Linked DNA regions of Notamacropus eugenii. The protein of the gene in region 2 interacts with the protein of the main gene of each other region in a pairwise test. Links are inferred from orthologs where the notes say so. Each region holds a gene or a part of one and is shown on either strand. Other genes may lie near its edges.

The links.
Region 1: the proteins of VAPA (region 2) and ADRB2 interact in a protein complementation assay, tested with the Homo sapiens proteins (2 studies listed by BioGRID and IntAct, with this or other methods). The link is inferred for Notamacropus eugenii from reciprocal best matches to the Homo sapiens genes VAPA and ADRB2.

Annotation. Positions count from the first base shown.
Region 1 is NC_092872.1:409,722,745-409,730,118, forward strand, and holds the start of ADRB2 (beta-2 adrenergic receptor), read right to left. Parts: upstream 3,205-7,374; 5' UTR 2,916-3,204; coding exon 1,769-2,915; exon of another isoform or gene 994-1,768; intron 1-993. UniProt on the Homo sapiens protein: Beta-adrenergic receptors mediate the catecholamine-induced activation of adenylate cyclase through the action of G proteins. The beta-2-adrenergic receptor binds epinephrine with an approximately 30-fold greater affinity than it does norepinephrine.
Region 2 is NC_092875.1:233,202,423-233,209,912, forward strand, and holds the start of VAPA (vesicle-associated membrane protein-associated protein A), read right to left. Parts: upstream 3,027-7,490; 5' UTR 2,715-3,026; coding exon 2,636-2,714; intron 1-2,635. UniProt on the Homo sapiens protein: Endoplasmic reticulum (ER)-anchored protein that mediates the formation of contact sites between the ER and endosomes via interaction with FFAT motif-containing proteins such as STARD3 or WDR44.

The DNA.
Region 1 (7,374 bases), on a different chromosome or scaffold from region 2:
TGGTGCAACAGGAAGAGGGCTACATTTAGAGTACGGAGAGTTCAGTCTGAATCTCAGCTCCAAGGCTTTGAGACTCTTGAGGAAGTTACTTCCCCTCTCTGGGCCTCAGTTTTTCATTAGGCAAATGGGGCTATGCCACATGAAAGCATGGGAATCCAATGAAGTAATGGGTCTGTAAAGAGCTCTGTAATTTTGATGGGCTATGTAAATGAGAACTATAAGTCTGATTATTATTGAACTGAACTGAAGTTTTTACTTGATCACAATTTTACTTCATCATAGGATACTAAATCTAGAGCTGCAAGGACATCAGAGGCCAGCTAATAATCCAGCCTCCTCTTTTTACAGATGAGGAAACAGAGGTCTAAGTTAGCTAAGTAATTTCACTAAGGTCACTTGGGTAATAAGTATCAGTGGGCACTTGAACCCAGCTGCTTTTTTCATCCCTCTTTCCACTGTACCACCATCTTCCCACGGATAATTTTGGAATAAAGAATTAATGGGAAATTGACAACTTCCCATTAATAATAAATAATAATTTTATTATTGAATAATCATTAAATATATTTACATATCAATAATACATAAATAGGTACACTAATGAGCAACATAAGCAAATCAGAGAAGCCTGATTTAGGGTAGAAGGATTATGTGAGACGTGTTTATTATAACATTCAATGCCAACAGACTTAAGCTATGTGTAAGTGTAATTCCAGGAAGTGTGGCATGAAAAAAGAAGACGAGCTAGAGCAAAAGCCCTGGGTTTAAGTCTCCATCAACACTTTGTAGCCATATGACCATAGGCAAGTCCCTTCCTTCACCTCCTGAACCTTGAGCTCCTTAATACAATGGAGATGATATTTCCCCCTATACACCTCACAAAGCTATGGAGAATAGCACTAGGTAAAACTGGTAAACACCACAGAAATGTGAGGTCTTATTGTTACTATTAATTCACCATTAAGTCACTGGACAGCTATTACAAACAGTTACCTGTGGTTTCCAACAAGAATGTTCCGCTGGGGGGATTTGGACAAACAGGTGTAATGATGTCACAGCAAAACAATTTATTTACTGTAAACTTTAGACTTTGCTCATTCAACAGCAGAAGCTGTCCCCTCTGTGTCCCTGCCTCCAATAGCCCATGTGAGCCAATAGGAGGATAAGACGAATCCATATGGACAGCCAGGTCCGGCTGGAGCATCCGCAAGGCCCAGGGGGAAGGCTTGCTCCTCCAGATAGATGTCCCAAGTAGAAGTATGCTAACCCTAATACTTGACAAATGAGGTAGATCTAGAAGAAAGTCATCCAAACTCGACCAAGTCCTCAAGGTCTGAGATCCTTGAAGTGGGATATACACTTCCAAACTCCATTCCAGGCAGAACCCACCTGTTACAGAAATGCAGAATCCCTAGAACTGGTGGGTGAGTTATTTTGTTTCCTGTTAACTTAAAAACTTAAAAAATAAATAGGCTAAGTCTGTCCTCCTCCACCTGCCCATCTCTCTCTAGGCTGACTAGACATTTCTAGCTCAGGAGTTAGAGTGTGCTTAGTATTTGAGTGTTGGTGACGAGTTGTTTTTGTGGATTGTTTTGGGGGGGGGGGAGGGTTGGTGGTTGCTGTTCTTTTAAAAAGTGGATTCTTTCTTTTTCCCCACCTTGCTTGGTTTGCTGAGGGTTTTTTACCAACCAGAGAGACAGTCACAAGGGGGTATCATCCAGAGTCTGATCCTGGCTCTCTAAGGTCGCGCTAGCATTAGGCACAGTACCTGCACAGTTCAAAAAGCCCTCAGTGCCTGGGAGGTCTTCATACAGCAGCTCGATCTCCTTCTCCTGCTCGGTGGGATAGCTCCCTCGCTCCTCGTTGGGCTCACTTCTCCCATTGCTGTTGCTGGAGTGGCCATTGCCATAGAGCTTCAGGGCTGACCTCCTGAAACAGAGGAGCTCCTGAAAGGCATATCTGAAGTCCGGGCTCCGGCAGTAGATCAGCGGGTTGAAGGCTGAATTGGCGTAGCCCACCCAGTTCAGAAAAATGTACACATATTTGGGGACAATGTTGTCCTGTATCGCATGGACAATGTTAACAATGAAGAAAGGCAACCAACAGAGGGTAAAGGTCCCCATGATGATACCCAAGGTCTTGAGAGCTTTATGTTCCTTCAAACAGAACTTGGAAGACCTTCGGTGACTTGTCCTTCCATTTTGCTCCATCTGGTTGCTGTTCTGGACATGAAAGCGGCCCTCAGATTTATCTATCTTCTTAAGTTGCTTCTTGGCCACCTGGAAGACCCGGGAGTACACAAATACCATGACCACCAGAGGCACATAAAAGGACACAATAGAGGAAGCAATGGCATAAGCCTGGTTAGTGAAGAAGTCACAGCAGGTCTCCTTCTCATAACATGAGAGAGCTTCCTGGTGGCTGGCACGATACCAGTGCATCTGAATGGGCAGGAAGGAGGTGAGGGCCGATACCACCCAGACCACTAGGATGACCACCCTGGCCTTGCCCTTGGTAAGCAGACTCTGGTACCGAAAAGGTGCTGTGATGGCGAAGTAGCGGTCCACAGCAATAACGCAGAGGGTCTCGATGCTAGCTGTGACACACAGAACATCAATGGAGGTCCAGAACTCACACCAAAAGTTCCCAAAGGTCCACATTTCCATGAGGATGTGACTGGCACCAAAAGGCACCACTGCCAGCCCCATAACCAGGTCAGCACAAGCCAGTGATGTGATGAAGTAGTTAGTGACTGTCTGCAAACGCTGGAACCTGGCGATGGCTGTGATGACCAGCACATTGCCAAACACAGTGGCTAGAACTATAATGGACATGACAATGCCCAAGCCCACCATCCACGCTTCACCCTTCTGAATGGTGGCGTTTAAAAAGCTGTGGCTCAAGTTGGCAGACATGACCCCCCAAGCTGTCCCCCCGGGGGGCGGGGCCGTCCCTGGAGGTCCACAAGCCTTGATTGAGAGTACCCCGCTGCCAATCTCTTCTTGGCAGGGGCTCAGCTCCCTGAGAGTCCCAAGCAGCTGCTCGCCCGACGAGGGCCCGTCATTCAGTCTCCGTAAGGTGCACAGGACCTCCAGGAACAGAGGGGAAGGAGGAAAGCAGGGCGCGCCCCAGTCTGAGGATCTGACCTTAGGAACAGCGAAAGCGGCAGCTTCTCGCAGCGAGCGCGCAGACTGCAAGTGCTCGGAGCCCGCTATGCGCCCCGGACTTCAGAACTTCGGTTGTCCCCCGGCCCGCCTCCATCCGATGACGTTATGTTACTTTCGGCCAATGGTGTGAGGGAGACCCCGCCCCTCCCCCCCTGCTGCTGGGAGTCCCGGCCCTCCCCGGAGCCGCACCTTATTCAGGGCGCGCTGAATGTGGAAGATCTGGGCTCTGGGTTTCCGCGGGAGCCCCAGGGGGTGCAGCTCTGCCTGCCCCGGCCTTGCAGACTGGACGCCCCGTTGGGAGTCAGCAGATCCCAGGAGACACACACATGTAATGAGATGCGGAGAGACAGTCACACACACAGACAGGCATACCGAGAAAAACGTTAGCGCACACAGACGCAGAGATCCAGAGAGAGAGACCGAGAAAGACATAGGTACACAGGCACACGCGAAGACGCAAGAACACCGAGTAACTCTAACCCTAATTATGTAACTATGGTACCTAGACACACACAGACACAGGCATACAGACACATGGGTACGCGCACCAAGAAACAGTTGTAAACATTGGGACAAAGACAGTGGCACACAGAGAGCAACAGGCAGTGAATGACACACACACAGACGCAGAAACAAACACATTCTCACAGGCACAAGCGCACTTCTTTTAGATTAGTTGAAAAACTGAAGTCTGACAGCGTAGTCAGTCAGTCAATCAACAAACATTTAATTAAGCGCTGTGCTACGCAATGAAGACACAAAGGGCAAAAGCAGTCCTCGCCCTGAAGGACATCATTTTCCGAGGAGGGCAACAGTACACAAACAGCTATGTATGTACAAGATATATATACAAGGTAACTGAAATGTGGGTGATCTCAGAGAGGGACAGGGTAAGGCTTCTTGTAGGTTTAATAACAGAGAAGTCCCTTTTTTGCAGGAAAGATGTTATTTATCCTAATCTCCATGGTCATTGCTTGAGCATGTAATGAATGTTACAATTCTTTTTCATCCTTAGGCTCACACATTTAGAGATGGAAGAGACCTCAGAGATCACATCTAGATCTTCCTTTCATTTTATAGATGAGGAATCCATGACTTAATGAAGAAATGACTCATTACAAAGACTTAGGCAATGAATAACAGAATCTGAACCCTCCTTCTTTTATTCCAAATCCAAGGAATCCAAATCCAAATCACTCCACTGCACCCCACTGAGTCCCAGAGAGTTGCGTTTATTTTCTTTTTCTTCTATTTCTTTTTTGGAGAGTGAAAGATTTGAAGGTGGGATAGAGGACCCAGGGAAACATGTTGTTTATTTTTAATGCAAAGGACAACATTTTTCTAGTCTGATTTCATTTTCTTTTCTTTTTTTTGCCTGATTTCATTTTCAAGTGAGAATACTTCAAGTTTCAAGGTTAAGTATCGGATTTATTGTACACTCACTCTGATTTCCACATGCACTTGCATTAGCATGATAGTCTACTCTGCACATCTGCACATAGTCCCATGGAGCAAATGTCAAAGCTTACAGATATCAGAGGGTGCCCACCTGCATCTGAAGAGAGCTCCTCCATTTGGGAGTTCCCTTTACCAATGGAATCACATGATCACAGGATCATAGGTTCAGTGCTAGAATAAACCTTAAAAGGTATCTATCAAGCTCAAGTCCCTGATTCTACAGATGAGGAATTAAGGTCCAGTGAGGTTGTTACTTACCTAAGGTCACAGGGTAGAAATAAATGGCAGAGCCAGGATTTGAAAAGAATAAAGGTACTCAGTAACAATAGCTAGTATCTGGTGCTTTACAAATTACCTTACATCCATTATCTAAGCTTCATAACAGTTCTATAAGGTATGTATTATTCCCCCCTCCCCCTTTTTTTTAGATGGGGGAATTGAGATTGAGAAAAGTTAGGTGACTTGTCTGAAATCACAGAACTAGTTAGTGGCAGAATTAGGATTTGAACTTCTGTCTTCTGACTTCAGATCCGAAATGCTTTTCACTACCTAACATTGGTAGCTATGTAACAACAGTTTTCATTTATTCGACACTTGATGATTACAAATCACCCCGTATCCATTATCTTCTTTGATCCTTACAGCATAAGGATGACAGCAGAAGCAGCGGTTATAATAGCCCTGAGGGCAAGGGAATGCAAATGTTATACCCACTGATGAGGAAACTAGGAAACTGAAGCAAAATGAAAGTCTGGACAACAGCTGTGGTGGATCTAGAACTTGAATTCATGTCTCTCGTAACAGAGTCTGGAATCACACACACCCCTGCATCTCTCCAAATGGTGTAGCATGAAGTTCCCTTTATAGCCACAGTAGATACTTTCCAAAGACTTTGGAGTTTATTAGAGGCAAAGTGGTGAAGCAGAGATTTGACCTCGGAAGACCCAGTTCAAGTCCTGCCACTGATACATACTGACCCTGGGCAAATTACTTAACATCTCTGTTCTAGGCAACTCTCGATGACTAGAAATTGCTAAAATAGTGCCCACCTGCATTTGGGAAGGAAATCTCATCTGGGGCTCTCCCTAAACCAATCAAATTGAAGATCTAATGCCCATCTACTATTCCTGTTGGTCTTATTATCTGGCTGAAGTACATGTGTATTGAAACAAACTTCCTTAGGGTATTTAGTAAAATCAGTTTATTAGATGATGCATGTGGGTGTTGTATCTAGTGCAAATTGGTCAGGCAGTCTTCACCAACACGCACTAATGTTCACATGAATAGCCTTCAGCGGGCACCTAATTTAAGTCCTTTATTTTACAAGTGAGGAAACTGAGGCACAAAGAGTCTAAATGGCTGGTCCAAGATCAAATGGGTAGTAAGTAGTAGAACTGAAATTCAAACCCAGGTCATCTGACCACAGATCCAGGGCTCATTCCATTGTACCACACTGCCTCCCAGAGGGAGGGGAGGAGAAGAGAGGGAAGGCAGAATTGTAAGTAGATCATAGACTTAGGGCTGGAAGGGATCTTAAAGGTCTTCTCCAACCCCCTCATTTTACAGATGAGGAAACTGAGACCTAAAGAGTTTAAGTGATTTGTCCAAATTTGCACAGGTAAGTCCCCTAGCGGTTAATTCCCTCCTTCTATTCATTGTAAGGGTTTAGATATAATATCTGTGTGTGTGTGTGTATGTGTGTGTGTGTGTGTGTGTGTGTGTGCATGCATTTAGACATTATCTCCTCCACCAGACTGTATACTCGAGTTTCACTTTTGTCATTGTAGCCCCAGCAGTTAGCACAGACTTGCCATTAAAATAAATCTTTAATAAAAATGTTGTTTGAGTGATTGTAAGTAGCAGTGGTTTGAACCCAGGTCCAATGACTCCAAATTCAGAACTCCATCCACTGGACCACATTGTAGTCTGTCTTCAAGGAGCAGAGTTGAGAAATAGTGTTTTTGGCAGGCAGCGATGCCTATTTGCACAGCTATTATAAATCAAGAAATTGTATGAATCGATGCAATAGCTATTTATTGAGAACTTAGTGTGAGTACATGTTGTAGTTGAAAGAGGATTGGATTTGGAGGCAGAAGACCTGGATTTGAGTCTTAAGCTCAGCTCCCTTCCAGCACTGTGGTCTTCAACAAGTCACTTCCACTCCCTGGGTCTCAGTTTCCTCAACTATAAACTGAGGGAAATGCACTCACTTGATTATCTCGAAGTGCCTTTTTAACTCAAAATCCTGTGATGTATAAAATTTGGCCAAGCTTGCACAACATGCATACCACATTCCTGTGTTTTCACATTGGACTGTAACATGAGGGATTGGGGGAATTAATAATGTTTGTTTTGTAACACCATTTCCTTAAAAAATGAAGTTCAGTCTCTCATTAGTTTCCATCTGGCTTACCGCAGCAACTTACTAATAAGACTTGCTATCTCCACCCTTGTGAATCCAACCAGGTGTCCAGTAAATCTAATCAAAAGAGGTTTAAAATAAAAAGAATGAGGGAAAGAGACAACTAAATGGCACAGTAGTTAGAGGCCTGGAATCAAGAAGACCTGTGTTCAAATCCAGCCTCAGACTTAGTTGTGTGACCATGGGCAAGTACCTTAATCTCTATGTGATTATTGTTATGAGTATAAAATAAGATAATATTTAGAAGCTGAGGCATCCAGAAATTCGGAGAAGACAATATTCAGGAAAAGATTCAATAACAAAACCCGTGGCTTCAAATGTCTAGAT
Region 2 (7,490 bases):
AAGAGAAGCTTCAGACTATCAAAAGAACTAAATATATGACATCTCAAAGGTAATCTAGCCTATTCTCCTCAGTTAGGTCCATTTACAGCATCAGTCCAAAATATATTTATCTGTGGACCAGGTCTACGGATTGTATAGCAAAATCTAGACAATAGGCTTTCTCTATTTTTCTTGGTGTCCAGTTAAACCAAACTGAACGCATCCATCTTTAATGATTAATTCTTTTATTGGAGTGAAGGGTACAATGTTTTCCTAAGTTTGAAAAATAACTTCTAAATGCTCAAAACATTTATGATTACATTGGAAGCACAGGTCCAGTTTTGAATGCATAAAAGATAAGCAAGGGCCTTTCACCTCAGGTGAGAGGGTCCCCTTTCTTCATCCCAACAGCAACATTTTCTCATAAGAAACCCTCCAACTTGGCCAATAAGGCAGCTTCTCACCTAATACTAATTTCCAAGACTGATGGCAGCACAAGAGACTTTATCTTGTATAGACAATATTATTTCAGGAACACAGGCTACCAAAGCAACAGGATAAAGTAAAAAAACATACATACAAAAGTATTCACCACTATAGATTACATCAAAATATTTTAACAGCAGGTGGCTATTGATGTAATTTCAGGCTTTCAGGAAAGGTCTTTTTTTTTAATTAAAACCATATGAATGAATACAATATACATAACCTGGTTCTTTCCAGAGGTGTCCCATAACTCCTCAAAACAATAAATCTTCTCATACTTGCCTTGAAACAAAACTCTTACTCAATTGCTTACATAACTTTTCTATAGAATCACAGAAAATAATCCAGTGTAAAAAGCCAAGCACTAGTTGTGTAATAGTATCCTAACACCAAAGCTTCATAAAACGAATTTCCTGGATGTATAAAGCAACTTTGCTATATTAACTTTCCTGTGATGAGTTGCTGGCAGGAATGCAAGTATTTTCCTGTTGGCCTGACACTTCCCAGAACATAACAGATTCATCACGTTTCATTTTACCCTTTGAAATACTTTAATTTTTTTTTAAACTAAACGGAATTTTTAAAATTGAATTTTTAAAAAGACATAGGACTTAACTATTTAACAAGGTTAAGTCATGCCTTAGATGTAACACCTAAAATATACTTCCTTGATCTTAATGCACAGTGCCTGTGACACCAATAACACTTAATAACTTTTTTCATTCATTCATTAAGTCCCCTAAACAATGTTTGATATCCCAAAGAGCACCTAGATTCCTACAATAATAGCAAACAGAAAATAGTACCGGAGACATCACCTCCAAGATAATTCTGCCCACTCTCACCAACTTAGGTCCATTTACAGTTTCAGGTATTTTTACAACTTTAGGCTCATTTATATCTATCATCTCTACGTCCCTGTCCCAAGCATTATCGCCTTTGACCCTCATTCGGACTGTGAGTGATTTCCTGTATTAACTTGGAAGTGATTTGTTCAAGGCCATAATGCGGTAAAAGGAGACACTAATGTTAAGATGTATGTCTCCTAAGGTCACCAGAAAAAAGACGTGGAAGAACCCTAGCCACTAGTACCACTTTAGCATTGAAGACAGCAGGTGGAAGGAAGACTACCTAGTCCAATGACACTCATCCTTCTTCCTCACTTTACACACGAAAGTAAGTGACTTGTCCAAGCCCACAGCGGAGTTAGAGGGAAGAGGACGACCAAAACTAGGGCAAGGCGCCTATAACCACCAGGTCCTTCAGATGCCAAGTCCTTTAAGAGCGTGATGTCTCCCCTCTTAAGGTATGGAAGAACCAAAGGTTCTGGTACGAAATTACTTTACAACAAAGCCTCTGAACTAAGGAGTTTTCCTAAGTTTCCTTTCTGACTTTCTATGGGAACCGCAAACCCTGGAACACAAATGGGCAGGCAAAACCGCACCAGCGAGGGACACATGCGCCCCCTCCCCTGGCGCACTACTTACAGGAGGTCAGCAAGCCCCCCGCTCCTCAGCCTCCCCCAGCCCGCATCCGGGCGGCAGAGCGGACCTCAGGACGGGGCGCCGGGAAGGAGCCGAGGGGCCCGGCAAGCCGCCCCGGCCCGAGCCCGCGGGAGCAGCACGCGCTACCCCCGGGCCTGGCAGGAGCCCCCGGGCGCACACGCTCCGAGGTCGCCTCCCTCGCCCGCCCCAAGAAAGCCCAACGAGCCCCCGGCGCAAGGAGGGAAGGTCAGGAACAGAAGCGACCGCCGCGAACCCAAGACCCACAAGCTGCCTCCCGGCGGGATCCCAAGATGGCGGCCAAGGCGCCTGGTCCCGGCACCCCGAGCTCGCTCGCCTTCCCTTCCCTTCCCTGGGCCTCGGCCTCCTCCGCCCCCCCCCCCAGCCCCCGGCACAAGCTGGGCGTGCGCGCGCGTGAAACTGAGTGAGTGGGAACGGGCGGGGGAGGGGAGCGGAGAGGAAAGGCTGACGCCGAGAAAGAAGAGAAGAAGCTGGGAGACGCGGACAGAAACACGGCGAACAAGGCGAGGGGGGCGGACGACGCTCCTTCCTCCTCGTCAAACCTTCCACCCCCACCGAAAAAAAAGGAAGAGGGAAAGCACCCCAAGAGCGGAGCCGACGGCCTAGACCTCCCCGCTCCCCTCGCCGAGGCCCACCTCGCTACCTACCTTTAAATTTGAGGTCTGTGGGCGGGTCGAGGAGCAGAATCTGCTCGTGCTTTGCCATGGCCCCGGCAGCGGCCGCCATCGGAGAGACAGCGCAGGGGGAGCGGGGGCGCGCCCGAGGCGGCGGTTTGCCCGGTGGGGGGGAGGGGGGTGTCCGGGGGAGGGAGAGTGGGAGGAGCCCGAGGTGGAGGAGAGTGGGGGAAGCGCCGGGGCTGTGAGAAGGGCACAGTCACCAGCCTGGGCTCACCGCTCGCTCGCTTCCTGCTCCAGCCAGCGGATCGGGCAGTCTGACGACCAGTCGCTTCCCCCCCCTCCACTAACAACTGACTCAACCCCACACCAGCCACCGCGGCCACGCGCACTGCGATCCTCGCTGCCCCACGTGACGCTCCTCTGCGTGCAGCGTGCGCGCCACCGCGGCGGCCTGGGCCTCCTCTTCGCCCGTCCCGCCCTTGGAACCTTAATGTGACATGGGCCTTCACGCGCCTGCGCGCTCCCGCGTGTTCTATAAATTTCTTGCAGCCCGAAAGCTTTGCTGGGACTCTTGTCAGTGGAACTGGAAATGTCGCGGCGTGGGGCGGGGGGAAGGGAGGGAAAAGGGGGCGGAGTTTCCGCGGGACTGAAGATGCCTGTGCTCAGAAGCAATCCCTTCCCTCCCCTATCCGCGGGATCTGGGAGTCCGCACGGAGGTGACACCTTCTAGGGTTGGAGCTGAGGAACGGATGCGAGGGAAACGACTTGGGGCAGACGCCTTCAGAAACTACGACTCCCAGCATACAACGTTCCAGGCGGGCGGAGTGTAGAGACCTAGCCATTGGGGGTGGAGCATGCTGGGAGTCGGAGTCTTCCTTGGGGCGCCCGATGCGCAGTGCACCTTGGAACTTGTAATAGCGGCAGGACCGGCAAGCCGACAGGCCGGCGGCGGGCGGGAAGAGGAGCAAAGTCGGTTGGACAGATGTTGGGCGGGGCGCATCGGCCCCACGCGAGGCTTTGGAAGCCTTCGCGAAAACCCTCTGGCTGATTCTGGAGTGCCAGGCACCCACCTCTTCCAGAGAAGGAACTATATATAATTAGATTTGGGGGTGGATGCTTCTTTTGGCGGTTTTGTTGTTTTGGGGGGGGTGGGGGAGGGGAGATGGAAAGGCCTTACTTCTAATCCAACACTTTGTATTCCGAGAAGGGCCGCAGTACTTGGTGTGTTGAAATATGCCTTATTGTCAGTGACGCAAAAACCAGATAAATAATACTAGCATTGAAAACACGAACGTGGCATGAAGCCAGGAGCAAATATAAATGAGGGTTTGATTAGGGGAGGTTCCCGGAGCACCAGCCTTTCTCCTCAACGAAATAGGACGAACTTTCCCATGTGCTATTCACGCGGTGGGGTCTCTGAATGTGATGGCAACAGACCGCAAAACTTTTTTTAATTGATGATTTAACAACAAAGATAAGACAAGGACCCTCAAATTTAGCACTGGGAGAGTGTGGTGGACTGTCCTAGGGTAATGCAGTGTTGTGGGGGTTAGCAGCTGTCCTCCAAGTAGTGGCTCGGTTTGTATAGAAACCAAATACCTGGCAGAACTGGCACCGTAATAATGCCTAGCCCCACCAGCAGAGGACTTGGAATCAATGCCTAAATTTAACAAAGGTAGATAGCTAAAGGGGGCCGCTACACCGGCCAGCTAGCGTGCAGGATATGGAGTCAGAAAGACCAGATCCCTCCTCGCAAACCACTTCTGTTTGCTTTAATCCACTGGAGAAGGAAATGGCAAACCACTTGATTGTCTTTGCCAAGAAAACCCTGTGGACGGCATTGGCAAGCTGTGGTGACCGGACAACAACAAAGCTAGCTACAGCTGCTAATGTCGCAGTTCACAGAAGGTAGAACTTTCCGTCCAAGATTCTCCTGTTCGTCTTGTATATGTAAATGCTTGTCTGCATGCTGTCTCTTTTCCCACCCCCTCAGATTATAAACTCTTTGAGAGTAGGGTCTGTCTTTTCCTTCCTTTGTGTCCTCTGAGTTTAGCACAGTGCCTGGCACTAGTAGGTACTTAATGCTAATTGAGTGCTTAGCACCCTCATAGAAGAGGTGTCACCTTCAAACTAAAGAAACAAACCCCAATCACATAAGGCCATTGGCCAAAATGAATGTGTCTTTTATTTATGTTTAACTTGTCAGTAACATTTTGCATTTGGAATCATTTGGGAGATATGAGAAACTCTGGCACAGGGCTGCCCATCGTGGCATGTAGGAATCAAAGAAGGTACTGTGTGCTCCATGAGCAAAGCAGAATTGCAGTCACTCAAAGTGAGATACACAAAATTTAGAGATATCTCCATTACAAATGTTCATATGGACTATTTGTGCCCTACCTGTGGTAAAGTCTTCCAAGCTTGCATTGGTCTGATCAGCCAGTCAGACACATTATACACTGACCCTGACATAGTGATGTCATTCTGGTCCACTTCCATTGTACAGTAATCAACATATGTCATCAGGGCTTGCCTGGCAGGTAGAAAAAGTCCTTGCTTACATGATTAGATTTGGGACCTCCACTTCCAAAGTGCCTTTTATTGGTCTGATGCTGATTCCTGGACATCCAACATAAGAATTTCATTCCTTGTGCTGTCACTGGGAAGATATCCAGAATTCCTGGGAAACATGCAGTCCCTGTTAAAGCTTAGTGTAAATTAGTTTTTCAGGAACTTTCCAAGAGATGGCATGCTGAAAACTGTTTTTGACAAGGAAGTAAGGTAAAGGAAAAAATATCTAGAGGATACATACACACTAACATAACTTTTAATGAGGCCAAGTCTGGATGAGTGCCATGGAGAAACCCAGGTGGAGCATGAGGAAGAAAATGGTATTAAAAGAAAAAGAAAATACTTTGGGTTAGGGTAGACTTTTGAGGTCAGCTATTTTTAAGGTGGGCAGCTAGGTGGTGAAATGGATAAAGCATCAGTTCTGGATTCAGGAAGATCTGAGTTCAAATCTACTGTCAAATTGAACTAGCTGTTCAACCCTGGGCAAGTCATTTAACTCCTATTTGCCTCCGATCTTGGTTTGTAAAATTGGGACACATTGAAGAAGGAAATGGCAAAGCACTCCAGTATTCTTTGCCAAGATATTAAGCAACAGCATTTTTAATGTACTATTAAGTCCTATAATATTTATATCAGTATAAAATTTATACAAATATATAATATATAAATAATATTATACATAAATATACAAAAATATAAATAATTGTTTCCAAAAGCCTAAGAGCATTTTCTCTATTTTGGAAGTATGATAGATTATTCAATCTCTTGCCAGAGTGACACCTTACAAAGTTTCAAATTAAGAATTTTTCTACAATAAATATAACTAAAAGAGTTTAGGAAATATTTCCTTGGCCATATTGGGACTAAATAAATAAAATAAATGTTACCATTGTTTGCTTTGAAATACTCCAATGGTAAACAAAGTTTTACATAAATTAACCTTGTAACTATTTAAATACTTCTTAAAAGTAGCTGAAATTAGTCTGAATAGTTTGTCAACATATTCATTTGCATAGGTGTCAGGTCTTACTGAAGAACCTGATATTCCACAGAAAGTATTAAGATTTAACAAAAATTACACTCCTACTAAATAGAAAATTGTTGATAGGAAACAGCCTTCTGTATTCATGCTTGTTCTTTAGCTTGTTGAAATTAGAGAGGCATTTATGAGGGCAAAATAAAATTACCAAAACTAGAATTTGGTCAAATTGCTGTGTACTAAAGCTTAGTGGAGTTTTTCCTTGACTTAGGTTGTGTCTATAGGATGCCACCATTTACAAAAAAACAAAACTTAGAGGAGAGTGAACTTTTTTTTCCATGTAGATCTAGGTGATCCTGTCAATAATCTTGTAGCAATGATTACAAAACATTGTGAAAGACAAGATGTTATTGTTCCCTTCCTTCCCTAGATACTTTAGGAAATTGCTCCCAGGTAATTTGAAGAGACCCCACCCCCACCCCCTGACGGGGGTCGGTCCTAGGCGCCTGGGCGGATAGGGGCCTCCCCGGGAGTGGCAGCCCACCAATCCGAGGGGGACACGGCTTCCATAGAGGAGTTGTGAGCCCACGGGATTGGTCGGGTGGGCTGGATCCAATCGGGTGGTAGGCCTCGCCCTCGGGGCGGGTTAGGATGGCAGCCCGGAAGAACCTCCCTATATAAGACAACGCCCTGAACTGCTCGTGGGACTCCTCCATGCAATAAAGCTATGAACCTCCTGCGCATTTCCTGATTATTGCCTGCCGCCGTGTCCCCCGGGGTAGGTCCGGAGACGTCCGAAGCGGTGCCCACCGAAGGGAGATTCTCACTCGAAGGTCCCGGGGACAGACCCGGGACAACCCCCCACCCCCCACCACCACCCCTGACTACCCAAGGAAAATTGTCCCAGGACCAAAAGACCCTTTAGAAAGGAAATTGGAAGAAAGTTGCTTACTGCTAGGTATTTCTATTTTTCTATAGACTTTACAAAAGCATTCATTATTGCTTTCCATAAACTGCTAAAAAACTTTATTCATGTTTTGAGTTTTGTGAATCCATGAGCTAAAAGGAGAGTTTTTAACTATACCCATGGGCTTGGGGAGGGGCACTGTGTTAGATACTGAAGTTTTCCAAAATCATCTCTTTGGTAACAATAAGCAGAAGTGAGAAATCCCCCAAAGTGTGCCACTCAAAAGTTACATACATATGGTTATTAACTGACCTGTAGGCATGATTAGCTGCAGTTGTGAGGCAGTATGTGACTATAGTTTGAGTCAAAGAGCAAGTGACCATTGCCGATTTCTCCCACCCCCTTTGTCTTACGTAACCAAAATCCCC